Neodiprion lecontei: one gene and its partner. The protein of the gene in region 1 interacts with the protein of each later gene in a biochemical or structural test. Links are inferred from orthologs where the notes say so. Each region holds a gene or a part of one and is shown on either strand. Other genes may lie near its edges.

The links.
Region 2: the proteins of BMP-2-inducible protein kinase (region 1) and protein numb form a complex in vitro, tested with the Drosophila melanogaster proteins (3 studies listed by BioGRID). The link is inferred for Neodiprion lecontei from reciprocal best matches to the Drosophila melanogaster genes Nak and numb.

Annotation. Positions count from the first base shown.
Region 1 is NC_060260.1:5,816,306-5,823,928, reverse strand, and holds the start of BMP-2-inducible protein kinase, read right to left. Parts: upstream 4,330-7,623; 5' UTR 4,073-4,329; coding exon 3,946-4,072; intron 2,696-3,945; coding exon 2,580-2,695; intron 2,257-2,579; coding exon 2,123-2,256; intron 1,924-2,122; coding exon 1,812-1,923; intron 1,715-1,811; coding exon 1,511-1,714; intron 1,385-1,510; coding exon 1,281-1,384; intron 1,205-1,280; coding exon 1,072-1,204; intron 969-1,071; coding exon 374-968; intron 166-373; coding exon 1-165. Other genes in the region: snRNA-activating protein complex subunit 4, read left to right, coding at 4,593-7,433.
Region 2 is NC_060261.1:16,629,650-16,636,864, forward strand, and holds the start of protein numb, read right to left. Parts: upstream 4,829-7,215; 5' UTR 3,030-4,828; coding exon 2,955-3,029; intron 1-2,954.

The DNA.
Region 1 (7,623 bases):
TCGGTGTTGTTAGTTTTGGTGGGCCAATATTGGTGGGAGTCGTTAATTTTGGAGGTACCAAAGGTGCCCCAATTTTGACTGTACCTGGCTTAGGAGCAACAGGCGGTGGGATTTTTGCAGGTGCCATCATCACACAAGTGTCATCTTTAAACGGATCTGGGTAACCTGAGCCAAATTGTAGTGATGAAACAGGTTATCAGGGCATATAAAATTCGCTGATACAAATATAAGCAACGTAAAAATTTTTAATACAGATTCTTGACATTTTCTGTATATATATAGTGACATTTGACAATAGTAAGGATTGCTAGCGAAATAAAATAATTTGTATCTAAGATATTGATGATTTTATATTATTTGAGAATTAACTCACCAGACGAGGGAAATAAGGCATCCAAATTTTCCTCTTTAACAGCTGAGGCAGTCGTTCTTGAATCGAAATAATACGGGTTCTTTTCCTGAATAGTAACCGGGGATTGATGAGGGAGAGGAGAATGGCTAATCATCGGACTCTGAGATTGGCCAAACGGCGAGGGGGCCTGGGATTGGCCAAAGGGGATGGCTTGGTTCGGGGATGAGATGTGAGGACTGACCTGAACAAAGGATGATTGTGCAGACAGCTGTAAGGGCTGTTGCGGGTTTGTTTGAACGCTTTGTCCAAGATAAGCTTGTGGAGTATTAATGGGCGGGATCTGTTGACTAACAGAAGTATAGGGAATTGAATTCCCAAGTGTAGTTTGGGATTGTAATTGATTGCCCTGCCCCGATATCTGACCTATGATTTGACCACTTAAACTTATGGGACCAGCCGCTGCACTCTGACCTTTCGGCCTTTGTCTCGGTGCGACCGATGTCCCTTCAACCATCGTAACTTGTGTAAGCTTTTGAATTTTTACCGAAGAACGCTTGATAGCTTCAGATTCCAGAAGAGGACAGGGTAGAGACTCTATTACCGGGGTTGGAGCTTTCTGTAAATATACAAAAATACAATTTCCAATAATCTTTTGAATCTGAGTCATTATAATCTGCCAATTGCTAGGACCACTCAATTGAACAGTAAAAAATACTTACGTGAAGGTTTTGTATTGGACAGTCCTTGCCTTGTAACTGGAAAGCAACTACCGAAACTTGGTATATATCTGGTCTCAGATCAGGATCGGGTTCTAACATGTATCGAATTAAGCAATGAAGTGCTTTGCTATATCTGTAAATTGAGAAAAAAGTTAATATAACCAGTCATGCTACTACAATAAAATATTCAAGATAAGCCAAAAGTTTACCTCGAACTTTCTGGTATGGTAAAGTTTCCTGATTGAATAGCAAGCGTACTCTCGCCAAAAGGTAACGAGAAAAAGCATAATTTATATAACAGACATCCTAGAGCCTGTAATAGAATTAAATTCTTTAGAAAAGAGGGAATGACGAACAAAATTTGGATTTCTACAGCTTCTCAACCTGCATTGACATGTAATTCACATGGTAATTCAAAAATATAATCATCAGAAATTACCCAAATATCTGCTTTTGTTGTGATGGTCTTGCCGCAGTACATATCAACCATTTCTGGAGCTCTATAACTAAGAGTTGTATACTTTTTAATTTCTTCTTCTACTATAGAAGCACCTTGAACACTTGGATTCAATACTTTTCCAGTTGCAGATCCAAAATCACATAGTACGTAATGACCAGAATCTGCTAGCAAAATATTTTCTACCTGTGACAGATAAGAACATCACCATTGAAACTAGCAATATCAACACGTAAAAGAAATAAAAATTGGATACAAGTTTTTTTTTCTAAGACTGACCTACCTTAAGGTCTCTGTGTAAAATAGGCGTCTGGCAATGGTGCAAACGCGAGACAGCTTCACACACGTCACAAAATATCTGCAAGACTTCAGTTTCGCTGAATCCAGTTTGTAGCCTGCATGATTTAAAGGATAAACGTTGTTGTTTTTAAATTTGAAACGAACAGAGGTATGTGTGAGATTACTATAGATGGACATTGCTAGTTTGTACAATTGAATATCTAATAAATATCTTTTGTCTGCTCCGAAAATTGAATGTATCAGTAAAAGTAAAACTAAAATGTTAATCACAAACATTATCCACGTATAACTGACCTGTTATTCATCATTTGAAGAACATGAGATTTGCAATATGGCATTAAAAGGAGGAGTTCATGAACCCCACCTCCAGTGTGAGTGATGCTGCTATCCACATATCCTATAATATTTTTATGACCGCTGAGATTGCTCTGAAAATTGAATTGATATGCTATATTGTACAGCAACGATAATGTAATTGTCTTTGGCCGAGCGGCCATGTTCAATATTTTCACTTTACTGTTTGTGTAACTATACAGGCATATGACAAGTTATCACAAGTGTTTACACAACCTGGCAAGGAAGCGAGCCTTTGTAGAACAAGCAATTACTCTTAATTATATTCCCATGTCCTGGGTTTACATATTCGAGAGTATCAAAAGGGCATAATCTCATCGTATAAAATTTTTGCTACAAAATTGGCACTTGTTTGTAGCAAAATTCTGAAACGAGTTTGCGATTTTCAAATACTTACAGCAATTTGTATCTCTCTTTTGCATACGTTGAGATCATGTTCATTATTGACATACATGCGTTTGAGCGCATAACGCCCACCCGATGCTTTGACCAAGAATACCACAGCAAAGCCACCTGGAATTAGGGATGTAATTTAAGTATATCTAATTATTATTTTCAATAGTGAGGTGAAAATTGCTTTTTCCAACACATCTAAAATTTATTATTAGTAAATCGAGTAATTAAGTATCCAGCTTCAAATTTTTCTGATCCCTTCTTTATTGTGTCATATCATGCTCTCTGTCAGTATCATAATAATAAATATGTAAGATTAACACATGTCAACTTGATATGACGATAGAGCTGTATCATGTCTGTAGTCTGAAACTGAGCTGTTTTAATTCAGGAAAGTCTAGATTATATGCCAGTGTCATTTTGATACAGTTCAATAAGTACATCGAATAATTCAGTCTGATTAATGTAAATCACCAATTGTTTTATATTAGCGCTTTGCTCGAGTTAATATTTTTAACCTTGGCAGATGAATGTTTAAATTTTTATTTGCATGTTGCGTATGATGTGAGGGGTTTTTGGTATGTGATTTTTAGCAGCGCTGTAATGTATCATCTGAAAATGATACTGATTCAATGCGATTGAATAAAGAAAGTTTTTTCGCCAGTCATTTTTATTCCCAGTTTAGCAATAAATGAATCATAAGTATTGCGTACCGAGTTGTGGGAGTGGTTTGTTGGATTAGTGAGAAATTTGTAATGAAAGGAAAATAAAGAAACTTGAGAGAAGTGAACGGCTTTTATTCAAATCTGGAAAGATTAGGAGAACATCCCTGCAATCATAAAAGTTTAATAACACTCGGTAATCTATCACGGTAACGGTGCTTGTCTTGCGATAAACTTGTAGTCCCGGTAGATAAGATTGAGACATGAGATTAAAAGGCCATAGCACCAGGTAATGCTGGTTAGAATGGCCAAGAATGATCGTTGCGGCTGACTGAAATGCACGATACAAACAACTACGCACCTTCCTCAGGTTTCTTTCGAGCCTTCTGTTTTTCAAACCAACCCCACGTTGTGTTTGCACAAGTGAATCGACGAGAATAATTCGCGTTGCAAAAACAATAAAACGAATTACGTACGAGGCTGGAAACGGAAACGAATTAGATTCCATTAAGGGAGTTGGATATAAATGGGGAGTACGTACGAATGCTCGGAATCGTTGAAAATATTGAAAATGGTGTTTGTTGCGCGAAGAAATGAAAGGGCCGTGAAATTGTAATAAACATAGCGACATACAGCGATAGTAGAGATTCCAAGACGGGAAACGATCGAGGATGAGGGACGAGATATTACACGTCGCGGGTTACGCACCTTCAGCGAGGACATCTTCGACTGTAACGGTGTGACGGCCGACGACAAATACTTTGCCGACATAGCTGTTTGGCTCCTTGGCTGTGTTGTCAATCTTTGTTTCGATTTTTGAGAAGAGTTTCTTCATTTTGGCACGTCGTTGTCGTCTGCGCTACTTCTTCGGCTATCCACCCAATATTAGACTGGCTTGACATAAGGCCTCCTCACACAGTGTTTTACGATTTATAGACGAGTCTTGGCCGGCGGAGTTACTCCTTATTTTATTCCAACTATATTTGCGTCCTCGACCGGCAATCCGCGTGGAAATTGCGCGTAAACTTAACCAACGAAAATCAATTTTATCATGATAACATTCAACGTATTTCACCCAGCCGACATTTTAAGACAGCGTTAGTTGCGCATGCGCGGCAAAAAGTCACGCTGCAGCAACTGAAGTGAGGCTAATACACCGGAAACATATGTCCCTGAGTTCCGGTCTAACGTCAAGTCTTGAAATACCAAACACCGCAAACATACAAGTCTTTCCCAAACGTAAACTTCTCTTACCGTCGGTTTTAACCTTGCCAACGAATTAGCGTCAAATTACTGATAATATCACAACGCCGCTGATTGGATTCGTCCCTTGTTGTTAACCTACGAACAGGAAAATGAGTGATTTAGAGGACGAGGATGTAATACTCGACGACATAAAAGCTCTCCAAGAAGTTCTTACGAAAAAACAATCGGACGGTTTGAAAAAGGAGTTGGTTTCCGAAGATCCATTTAGAACAGAACACAGTCAATGCGAGCCGTCAACGTCTCAAGCGAACAATCCTCTATCCCCGTCGAGCACGATTCAGGACTGCTGCACTGTCGACCCACTTGTCGATGGCGAAGAAAGTGATAACGAATGGAACGAGAATATCAATAGCAGTTTGGATCTTTCGAGTCCCGAGGCTGCGTTGAATCTAAATAGAAAAATAATAAATCTCTTGGTGAATGCTCAAAGAAAGCTTCGCCTCTTGCTCAAAGAGTGTCAGCGTAAACAAGTGCTAATAGATGAAAAACTTCAAAAGATAAATTCCAACCCATTTTCTAGAACGCTATTAACCATTAGCGGGATCCCATATTTCAAAGACAAGCGTCATTTTCCTGCACCCAAGAACCAGGACGCTAAGTTGAAAGCCAATCGTGGTGAGCTACAGATCATTGAACTTCCGTGCCCTTTGCGATGGACTCTGAAAGATCGGAACACGCTATGGGAGGCTATTTTTTGCGAGGCTAAGATGATTGCCCAACAAGTAGCAAGAAAACAACAACCTAATAACGGGCAACACTTGAGCTATGCAGAGGATCCTCTGAACCTGGAATTCAAGCTGACGGCTAAGAGAATACCGGAGCAGATAGCTCAGACCTTCAAGAACTTGGTTGGTCCGATAGGATCGAGGGAATTTGACTGGTTGAAAATAGCAGTAACCGATTTCAATGAGAGACATTCCGCCAGCGAGTGCAGAGCAATGTGGAACGTTTTCCTACATCCTGACATCAACAAGAGTAAATGGAAGAAGGCTGAGGATATGGATCTAAAAAAGTTGGCTGAGAATTACAACTTTCAAAACTGGGACCTAGTGGCTGAAAAATTGGGCACAAATCGTACAGGATATCAATGTTTTATTAGATTCAATACCAATTTTAGAAACAACATGTTGAACAGGAACAGTTTTTGGTCAAAAGAAGAAGACCAGAAACTTATTGACGCTGTAAATGGATTGAGGACTGGGAATTTTATTCCATGGGGAGAGGTCGCTAAGCTTATGGGACAGAGACGAAAGCAGCAGATATACATGCGCTGGAATTACAGTCTTGCTCCTAATTTGAAAAAGGGTAGATTCACCGAAGAAGAGGACAAGCTCCTACTTGCAGGTGTTAACAAGTTTGGGGCTAATTTTACAAAAATTTCAGTTTCTCTGCTGCCTCACAGAACTACGGCGCAGTTGAACGATCACTATAGAACACTTCTGCATGAGAAAAAAAATGAGTGGACTTTACAAGACGATACCAAACTGGTAGATCTCGTTGAAAAATTTGGCAACAATTGGTCCGCTATTTCCAAAGAATTCTCCAACAAGTCTAGAGTCCAAGTTAGACATCGCCATACGTCGATACTCCGATATCTGAGTCGGGGCTTGTCCCTCAGATCCATACCCAGGTGGGGACAAAAGTCTGAAGAAGTTTGCATCGAAGATTCAACGATGACTGGTGAAGAAAGGCTTCAAGAAATAAGTAGGTGTTTGAGAACTCCGTATGAAAAGGATGGAAACGATGGAAAGAGAAGTAATCTATCTGATATTGATATAGAGCTTCAGGATTACTTCAAAGGAATGTATCGAACCACTTCGAAACCTGGAAGAAACAGCAAATTTTATACTGCCGAGGAGCTCAACTATAAAACTCCGAGGCTTCACGTTATGTTGCAACTGCTGAATGCTGATCTTGATATTCCTGATGATTTCGACCAGGAACCACAGTTGACGGAAAAAGATAAGCAGCTGCTGACTTCCTTAGTAAAGTATTCAAGGGATGAAACCCTGGCGTCTGACATGCAACAAAAATTGGTTGAACATACCAGGCAAAAGATGTTTGGATCATCTATGGTGACAGAGTGTGAAGATCGTTTTATACCACCGTTTCCATTTGATGGTAAGAAAATTATCTCACGAATTAAAAAAGGAACAGTTACCGGAATAAATTACGATCCTACGAACGAGCCAACCACTGTTGAACTAGATAAAAACTTCAAAACACCTGAGCTAGTCATATCGCAAATGGGCGGTTTGCAAAGCGAACTTGCATTTGAGAAGATGGCCAAGAAATTTATCGGCAAAACCGAAAACTTTCCGACAGATACTGTGTTTTCAAAGGAGATACCTGAACGATCCGGTAAACTATTGCCGATAAAATTCATTTCCCTACCAAATAGTGGGAAGTTAAATAGTGCAAGTGAAATTATTGATATGAACGCCCCAAGTACATCAGGTGTCGTTTCCAATCCAGATACAAGTGAAACAGAGCAAAGTATGCCAGGTATAAATGAGTCATCTTCGAAAATTACCAGAAGGAAACTCACCAAGTATTGGCCAGAAATGCTGATACCTCCAAATTACACAACTTTACTAGGGTTTCGTGGAATATTATTATCAAAACACATTCTTGAGGCAGATAATTTGGTGGAAGACGAATATGATGAACTTGAAGATTATAGGATGACAACAGAGGGTCGACAAGCCTTGGAATTATTTGAGGAACGTTTAGCTAAGCTTTTTAAATTTCCTATAGAATTGTCCGAAGTAGCACCACCTGTATTACACGATATGAGAGAAAAAGATTTGGACAGTGTTGGGAACAATTGTCAAAGAAGAAGAAAAGGCAGTAAGGAATGTGGGGGATCGGAAACAAAAAGAAAAGCAAAGTTTGCAAAACTCAATGTTGAAGAAATTTCTGAGACATGAATTTCATAAAAAATCAGCTATCTACATTGTATATGTACAATGTATTCTCCCTTAATGGTTCAGACTTGTTAAATGACACTGCACAACCTTATGTCCTAAAGTTTACTCCAATTGTATTAACCTCTTAACCTACGATTTAAGTTCCGATTGCGTGAGCCTATAATCAACAGCAAGGTCGGTCATATGTGTA
Region 2 (7,215 bases), on another chromosome or scaffold:
TACTGCGAAAAAAAATATTTGAGTTCGGGTCTTTTGGATGAGGTTCGAGTTAATAATATTAAGGTAAGGAAACATTTTTAGAAACGTCACTATTTCGCAACTTTGGAATTATTTTTCGTCGCGTCGGCAAAGGAAATTGTTACTAATGCTCGTCTGAAAAATTCGTTTTTTTTTTTTTATTGAGGTAGCTCGGTCACCTCGTCGGCCACGAAATCAATCAAGCTAGAAAAAATTCATACTTCAATATATTCAAGTTAAAAAGTACATTTTCACGTGTGCCAAATTTCACTGTCGGAAATGTATTCCTTGACGCACAATCTTGCCAAAGAACTGATATCGAAAAGCTCCGTTTGCAAAGTAAATATATTTTTGAGTGATAAAATTTTTCGAAAAGCGATTGTAATGATTCAAAATATTCCAAAAAATCATCAGGCAATGGATTTGGATTGAAAGCAATTATTTGTGAAGAAAAGTTAGGATCAGCAGAATCGAAAAGCCACCAAATTCCAAAAGATGAGGAAATATCTCATTTAGGTTCTTATTTAAGTAAACGAATCAGTTCACCAAATGTCATTTCCCAATTCGAACATTACCGACAAACAGAGACATATTTTAAATAACCTTTTCGGCGCAGAAAAATAATACGATCCTTCGTAATTGGGCAAATAACATCGAAGCTTTCGTACACTGGCCTAGAAGGTAATTTAAAACTTGGTCAACTATAAAAAAATCACTGCGAACGGTTAATTTAAGCTGGTTAAATATTCGGCCGATGCTGATTGATAGAACGAAATTTTAGATGCTTGATTCCATCTGATGATTTCTTAGCTTTAACTTTAACTTAGATTGAATATTTTATTGCGGTATGTTCGTTTGTTACTCGAACAAGTGAGAATAGGTGAAATCTCAAAGGTTCTTAATCAAGCTTGACCGATAGAAATTTGAGACACACAACTTGAACTGCACTCGTGTGCGACTGGCCGAGTCGGTTGTTCGATTTGAAAATGGATCGCGTTGTGTTTATTAGTTCCGCCTTATTCCCGTGGGGACACGATTCACATATAACAGCTATGACAACATACAAACAGAGTTAAAGTTCTTCCCCCTCCTTATACATCGATTGTGAGTTCAGTGCAGGACGTGAATCACGGTTTACAAAATATGTGGTCAGTGCGGCGATCGAGGCCAAGCCCAAAGTAAATAAAATAAAAAAAGTTACTGAAACTAGATAATTATACGCGGTTCCAGCAACTCTCGAGCCATGATGAGTGCGTAATTAATGCAGATGATTTAATAATTCACGGAAGGATACAGATTCGCGATTAATTCGCACCCTAATCTGGAATTCGTACTGTTTTGTAAATTCGTTAATTCTTCAAAGTTATTCCAAGCTTGCAGGAGAGTGTTTTTCACCAATATTTCGTTGTGTCAACATTGCAACAATTTCTCTTCCATATATGAGGGTGAAGTTAGTAACGTTGTTGCGACGATTAACGTTTCGAAAAAACCGTTATGTCCCAGTTGCAATAATGTTTAAAATTCAGTGAGTCGTAACAAGACAAGAACTTGACTACTTCAAACTCACTGTAAACTTGAAATATAGTAATTTTTCGTTGCGTCAAAGTTACTAACTTCAGCCTTGTTTCCATATCTCGAATCCATCCAGCTTCACGTTTTTTTTTTAGAACTTCAATGTATACACGAAGCCATTTTTAACCGCAGCTGCGGATCCTGGCTGATCCCATAGGAAGAACCCCATGGGCAGATTTCTCCGTTCCAGAAACGTGCACAGCTGGCGCATCTTGGGTCGAATAATAAACGGTTTAAAATCAGTTACGTTCAGACACTTTTGGTACCGTTTTGCAACGCAGTCATTGAAACCTAACCGCAACGATGCCCTGACGAAGAAATTTGCGTGAATAACGTTTTCGCTAACTGCGAGTTAGGAGAAACTTTCCAAGCTTACGTTCTGTGGAGAAGATGGAAGAACCCATCTGCTCAGTTTTTTTTTTTTTTTTTTTTCTATAACGTTCACACGTGTACATATGGAACATTCCAAAACATTTCGACTTGCTCGCGATCCACACCATCTTCAATTTCATTCTCCAGTGTACGTTGCTTGGCGAATCGCAAAAATGCAATTTCCACAGTTTCAGTTTATTTAGAAAATGGGCTTTCCATCAACAACCGCACGGTCCTCGAAATTCAACAGTTAACCGCATAATTGATTTCAATGAAATTAATATAACGAATTCTTTGCCGAAAGGTAAAAACTTTCACTCCGGAATGAAAATTGGTGTGGATTTAATTTGAAAGAAACGAGCAATCTGATATAAAAATAGGGGATTTGATCACGAACCGTAAAATCCTCACGCTGGAGATGTTTCAATAACAATTCATTTGGTTAAATTTATCAAACCAGATATCCACTAATTTTCGCTTTAGTGTTAGACTGAAAAGTTTCGTTTTTTCGCAAAAACTCACTGACATAAATTTCATTGATTAAAATTAACCACGTTGTCAATTGATTTCGCGAATCGATCAATCGCAAGAAAATCGATTTCTCTAAAAATGACCAATTTTGCAAACCCTCTTTATCCGCATCGTCGAATAGGAGAACAGAATTGAAAACAGTGAGGATCATGAGCGGGGTCGAAATGGCCTGGAACTCCCCATATATGTACACAAATAAACGGCTCCTCGGGTCGCTTTCTACCGTCTCTCAGAGAATTAAGCCAGGACCAGTTTTAAAACCTAACATCGAATTCGTTTCCTCCGATCGATCGGAAGAACTTGGAGTTGTCTAAGAGCTCAACGATGTCGGTTGACCGAGGATCGTACAATACCGTAATCGCGTTTATCTCATAGGGGGTGAATAAATATTTTCCGAATGATTCGTCACCGCTCAATCCAGCTCTTAGTTTTTCGTCTCGAGTTGCTGGACGGCTACATACCGATATTCGGAGAGTGTTTCCAGCGTGGGTTGTGGCTCTTTCGAGCGGATGGTGGGCGGACGGATGGTTCCCCATGGTATCGATGCCTTTGGTTCAGGTAGTAAGTCGGGGGAAATATCCGAGAACAGGTAGTCGGTCAGTCGCGTTTACGTTCGTGTCGATCCGTGTTGGAATATATATATTTTCCAGCCTTCTCAGGGACGCGAAGCTGCACAGGTGCGGCCGGTTGCGTTAATCGAACGCCAACCGCGCTCAGTTGTCAATTCGCGAAAACTGCAACCGCCGTTTCACGCCTTCATCATCGGAGTGCCCGATAGCCAATTTTGTCACTCCGATTCCCGTTTCACCGACAACACAAGCCTCGGGGATTCGAAACTCACTCTCGATCACCGTCCCTCGATACTTGACCTCGTCGACCTTTTCCGGCCTCTTTCTTTTTAAACTTCACGAAAAACGTCACAGCTTCGAAGCCATTCCCGGCTGCCGCCCACCGCCTGGGCTTCTTCTATCCGTACTGACAAACGGGAAACGGTCAAACTTGGCTCACCCAACCTGCCTTTCTTACGATGACGTCACTCAAGAGTCTCTGCTACACCGCCGGCTTCTTCTCGCTTACGACGCGATTCCGTCGTTCGAAATTTCGAATTCGAATACCACCCGCCGTTCGAAATTTCAAAACCGAATCGCGCCCGACGTTCGAAATTTTGAAACTGGACTTGCTCCCGCTGTTCGAAATCTAGGTCAATTGAAAACTTGACTCAACTCTGCCGTACGAGATGTCACACCTTGAGATAATACCGACGTTCGAAATTTGAAAACCTTGCTTGCTCCCGCCCTTCGAAATTTGATAACTCGGCTCGCTACCACGTAACGGTTTTATTCGAACGCCCGAAGCGACGTTCCGTTGTCATCGAGACAGTTCAAATATTCGTCTGTGGTAAAGAAACGATTTTTAACGATCAATTTTGAATGTGAAATTCAGGTGATCGACATTCAGATTCGAGTGGCCGTTCTTATATTCGGTTTGCGCGAGTTTCACTCGCCATTTTGAAGACCGAACCTCTTTCGGTAAGCACCTGTAACGAGTTTATTAATCGTGCAACAGCTGTCACGAAACCTCTGCTCTGAAAGTGTTCCCACGTTTTTCCGTTGGCGCAACGTTCCGCTCAGTTTATAATACACTTCCGGCGACCCCACCGGAACTCGGAACTTCGTATGATCTCTCGCTGGACTAATTATTCAAACAATCGAACGCAAATCGAACAATTGGTATCAATATTCCCAAATGGTAAAGAATCCTCCTTTCACATCTGCAGAGATATTCTCCTCCTGACTTACAAACTTGGTAATCAACCTTTTATTGCTTTCGTTTAAATCGAGAATTATTGCGAACGAAACCGACAACTGTAAACATTGAAATTCACAATTTCATTAACTACACTTGACGTTTATATTCCAACCGCATCCGGGAGCGTCGTTTGTTTTCCGCTTCATAGTCTCTTGTTGTTTTTCTTTTACATCGTTTCTTTACAATGTAGTAGGAAAAATAGCAATATATCAGACTCGGAGTATGAGAAATTCACTTGATCGAACAACGAATATCGACGGTCAATCTATGAACGATTACCGCTTTCACGTCTCGGTGAATTCCAAATTTCGGATTCGAACACGACAAGAACGACACTTTTCTACACGAATATCACACAAAACACGACACCATGGAAATTGGACGATATCGAACCGTTGAGGCCGTTTTCGATGACGATTAACGGCTGAACCACAGCGGCCGCCGCTGCGTTTTTCCCCCCAAACCGAATGCGGTACGCGTACCCAGAATACTACGCGGCTCGTTCGACTCGATTCAAACTTGTACTCCACGAGGCGTTCTTTCTGCCTGCTGCCCGGTTCTCGTTGTAAGAACTCTCGGTAGTGGGGCGAAATGCCGGCGAGGAGTGGGACCACCAGGAGGGGGGGGGGGGGGGGGGGATCGGCTTGGAACGAGAGGTCTGATCCCATAGCCTCTCTTGTTCCCTCCACACAGGGCTATTTATAATATCGTATAACTCGCATTTCAGTTACAGTTGCATACATATATAATATATATGTATAGGTATAGTTACATTCTCTCGGCACGCATCGTGTACCTTATACCTATCGGTAAATATTATACCCATCTTACGGTAAGGTAACGAAGAAGACTTACGGAATGAAACGCAGAAAGTGAAAGTATAGATATGAAAATTTTTTCAGCAACCGACAAATTTCGACAATGTCTTTTATAGATTGTAAGATACATCGGTTTTCGAAGTTCGTTTTTGTCTGGAGTATCAATTTTTTTCTAATATTGTAAACGAGTATTTTATAGATGATAACAATAATCAACAACAATTTCTCTGGCGGAAAAAGATACGCGCTGAGGAAACTTTTTATTTCAGGCACACACCTTGGACGAAATATAATTTAACGGGTTTCGAAAATGAATTGGAAATGTTTTGAAGTGAATTATTTTTTTCAATCTCAGGTGGTATTTACAAGAACAATAATAAATTAGAAGATTACGAGTATTCTTAACGATTGTCAATAAGTATCTTATGAACGGTGAAAAATAAATCTATCTTCAGGTATATTGAAAAAATTTTAATTTCTCGGTAAAATTTTGTACGTAAATAAAAATTCAATAAACTTTACATGCAGTTTAAATACATAGTTTTCGTTTTATTTCATGTGAAATTTATAACTGTAGTATTTCATAAAATAACAATATTATGCGGCCAGAATTTTGCTAACATTCCTGAGAACAAGAAAAACTTTGAAACATTATTTCGAAAAACTTCAAATTTCATAGTACATTTACCATATAAATTGAAGTGTTACCGCAGATTTCAAAGACGAAACAGTGAAAAAAATTAATAAAATTCTCAATCAGTGTTTCATAAAATAATAATAATAATAGTAACAACAACAACTACAACAACAACAACAACAACAACAACAACAATAATAATAATAACAACAATGAACAAGAAATGTGTGAATATTCGTCAAAATTATCATTTCGAAAAATATCGATGTGGGCAGAAAAAGCTTCTGACACACTCAGACTTTCGGTGCGTATATTCAGAAATTTCTCCAGTTTTTAAACATTTTTCTGGTTACGATTCTGTGAAGTTTAAGGAAACTCTCATTCGCAATCACCTTCCAAAACTTACTAAATTCTTTCAGTACAGCAAAGGTCTTCGAATATGTCGGAGAGGTTCTACCAAACATATTATCCCAATATGGTAATTAATTTTTCGGTTCTGCTTTGACCTTAACAAACATTCAAAGATCAAGAAGCAGAAAGGAAGAAAAAAACAGTAAACAAGTACAAAAGAATCCTCTTCGTTGTTTCATATTTGTTCATTATTTTTTTTTCTTCTCTTGTCTTTTCGTTTTGTCCATTTAAAATTTTTTGTTTTTTCCTTTTTTTTCCCATCTTTCCTTATACAGAGAACGTGAATCGGGGGTTTTTGCAGAGACTCCTAGTGAAGGTTTCACCGTCGGTAAAGGACGAGGTGAGCCTGCCTCCGTTTAATGATGGGGAGAGAGAAAGAGCGAGAGGAAGAGAGAGTGAGAGTTGCGCAGCTGCCACGGCAAATGGTCGTACATCTGCTGAAGAACAGAAGAACTGCATCCAGCAAAGTCTAGCTAGGCGAGTGACGTTAATACCCGGCTTACAGACGTGCCTTCCTACCTAGAACTTCTTACCACGCATTTACTTACCAACAGAAATATAGTGTAACTCTTCAGGGGTAAGAACCCGCGTTGAGGGACGGAAATCGAGGCCAAAAAATGTGGAACCAGAAAGGGAAAATTGTAAGTGCGAGGAGTGAGGAAAAAATGCAAGGGGGATTAAGAGAAAGGGAAGAAAACTGCAACTGTTATACTCAAAAACCGATTTGTACAATTATTTCGCACGGCAATTACTGACACGCAAATTTGTCAAATTTTGAACAAAGTGATAACGTTATATTGTATATTATAAATTGGTAAAAAATTTCTTTGTCTAAACACCAGCGGAAAATTCAAGTAATTCGATTTAAAGGACAAATTTCTGTTACTTTAATTCAGTGTTGTCAGAAATGGTAATTGAAGAATCGAATATTTGAATGGAATAATTGAAATATTGATAGAGATTTTCTTTACATTTTTGAAGAACAAAAAACTGCTGCGTAAATCCCACGCAAGTACGCAAACTCGATAATTTTAATACAAAATCCGA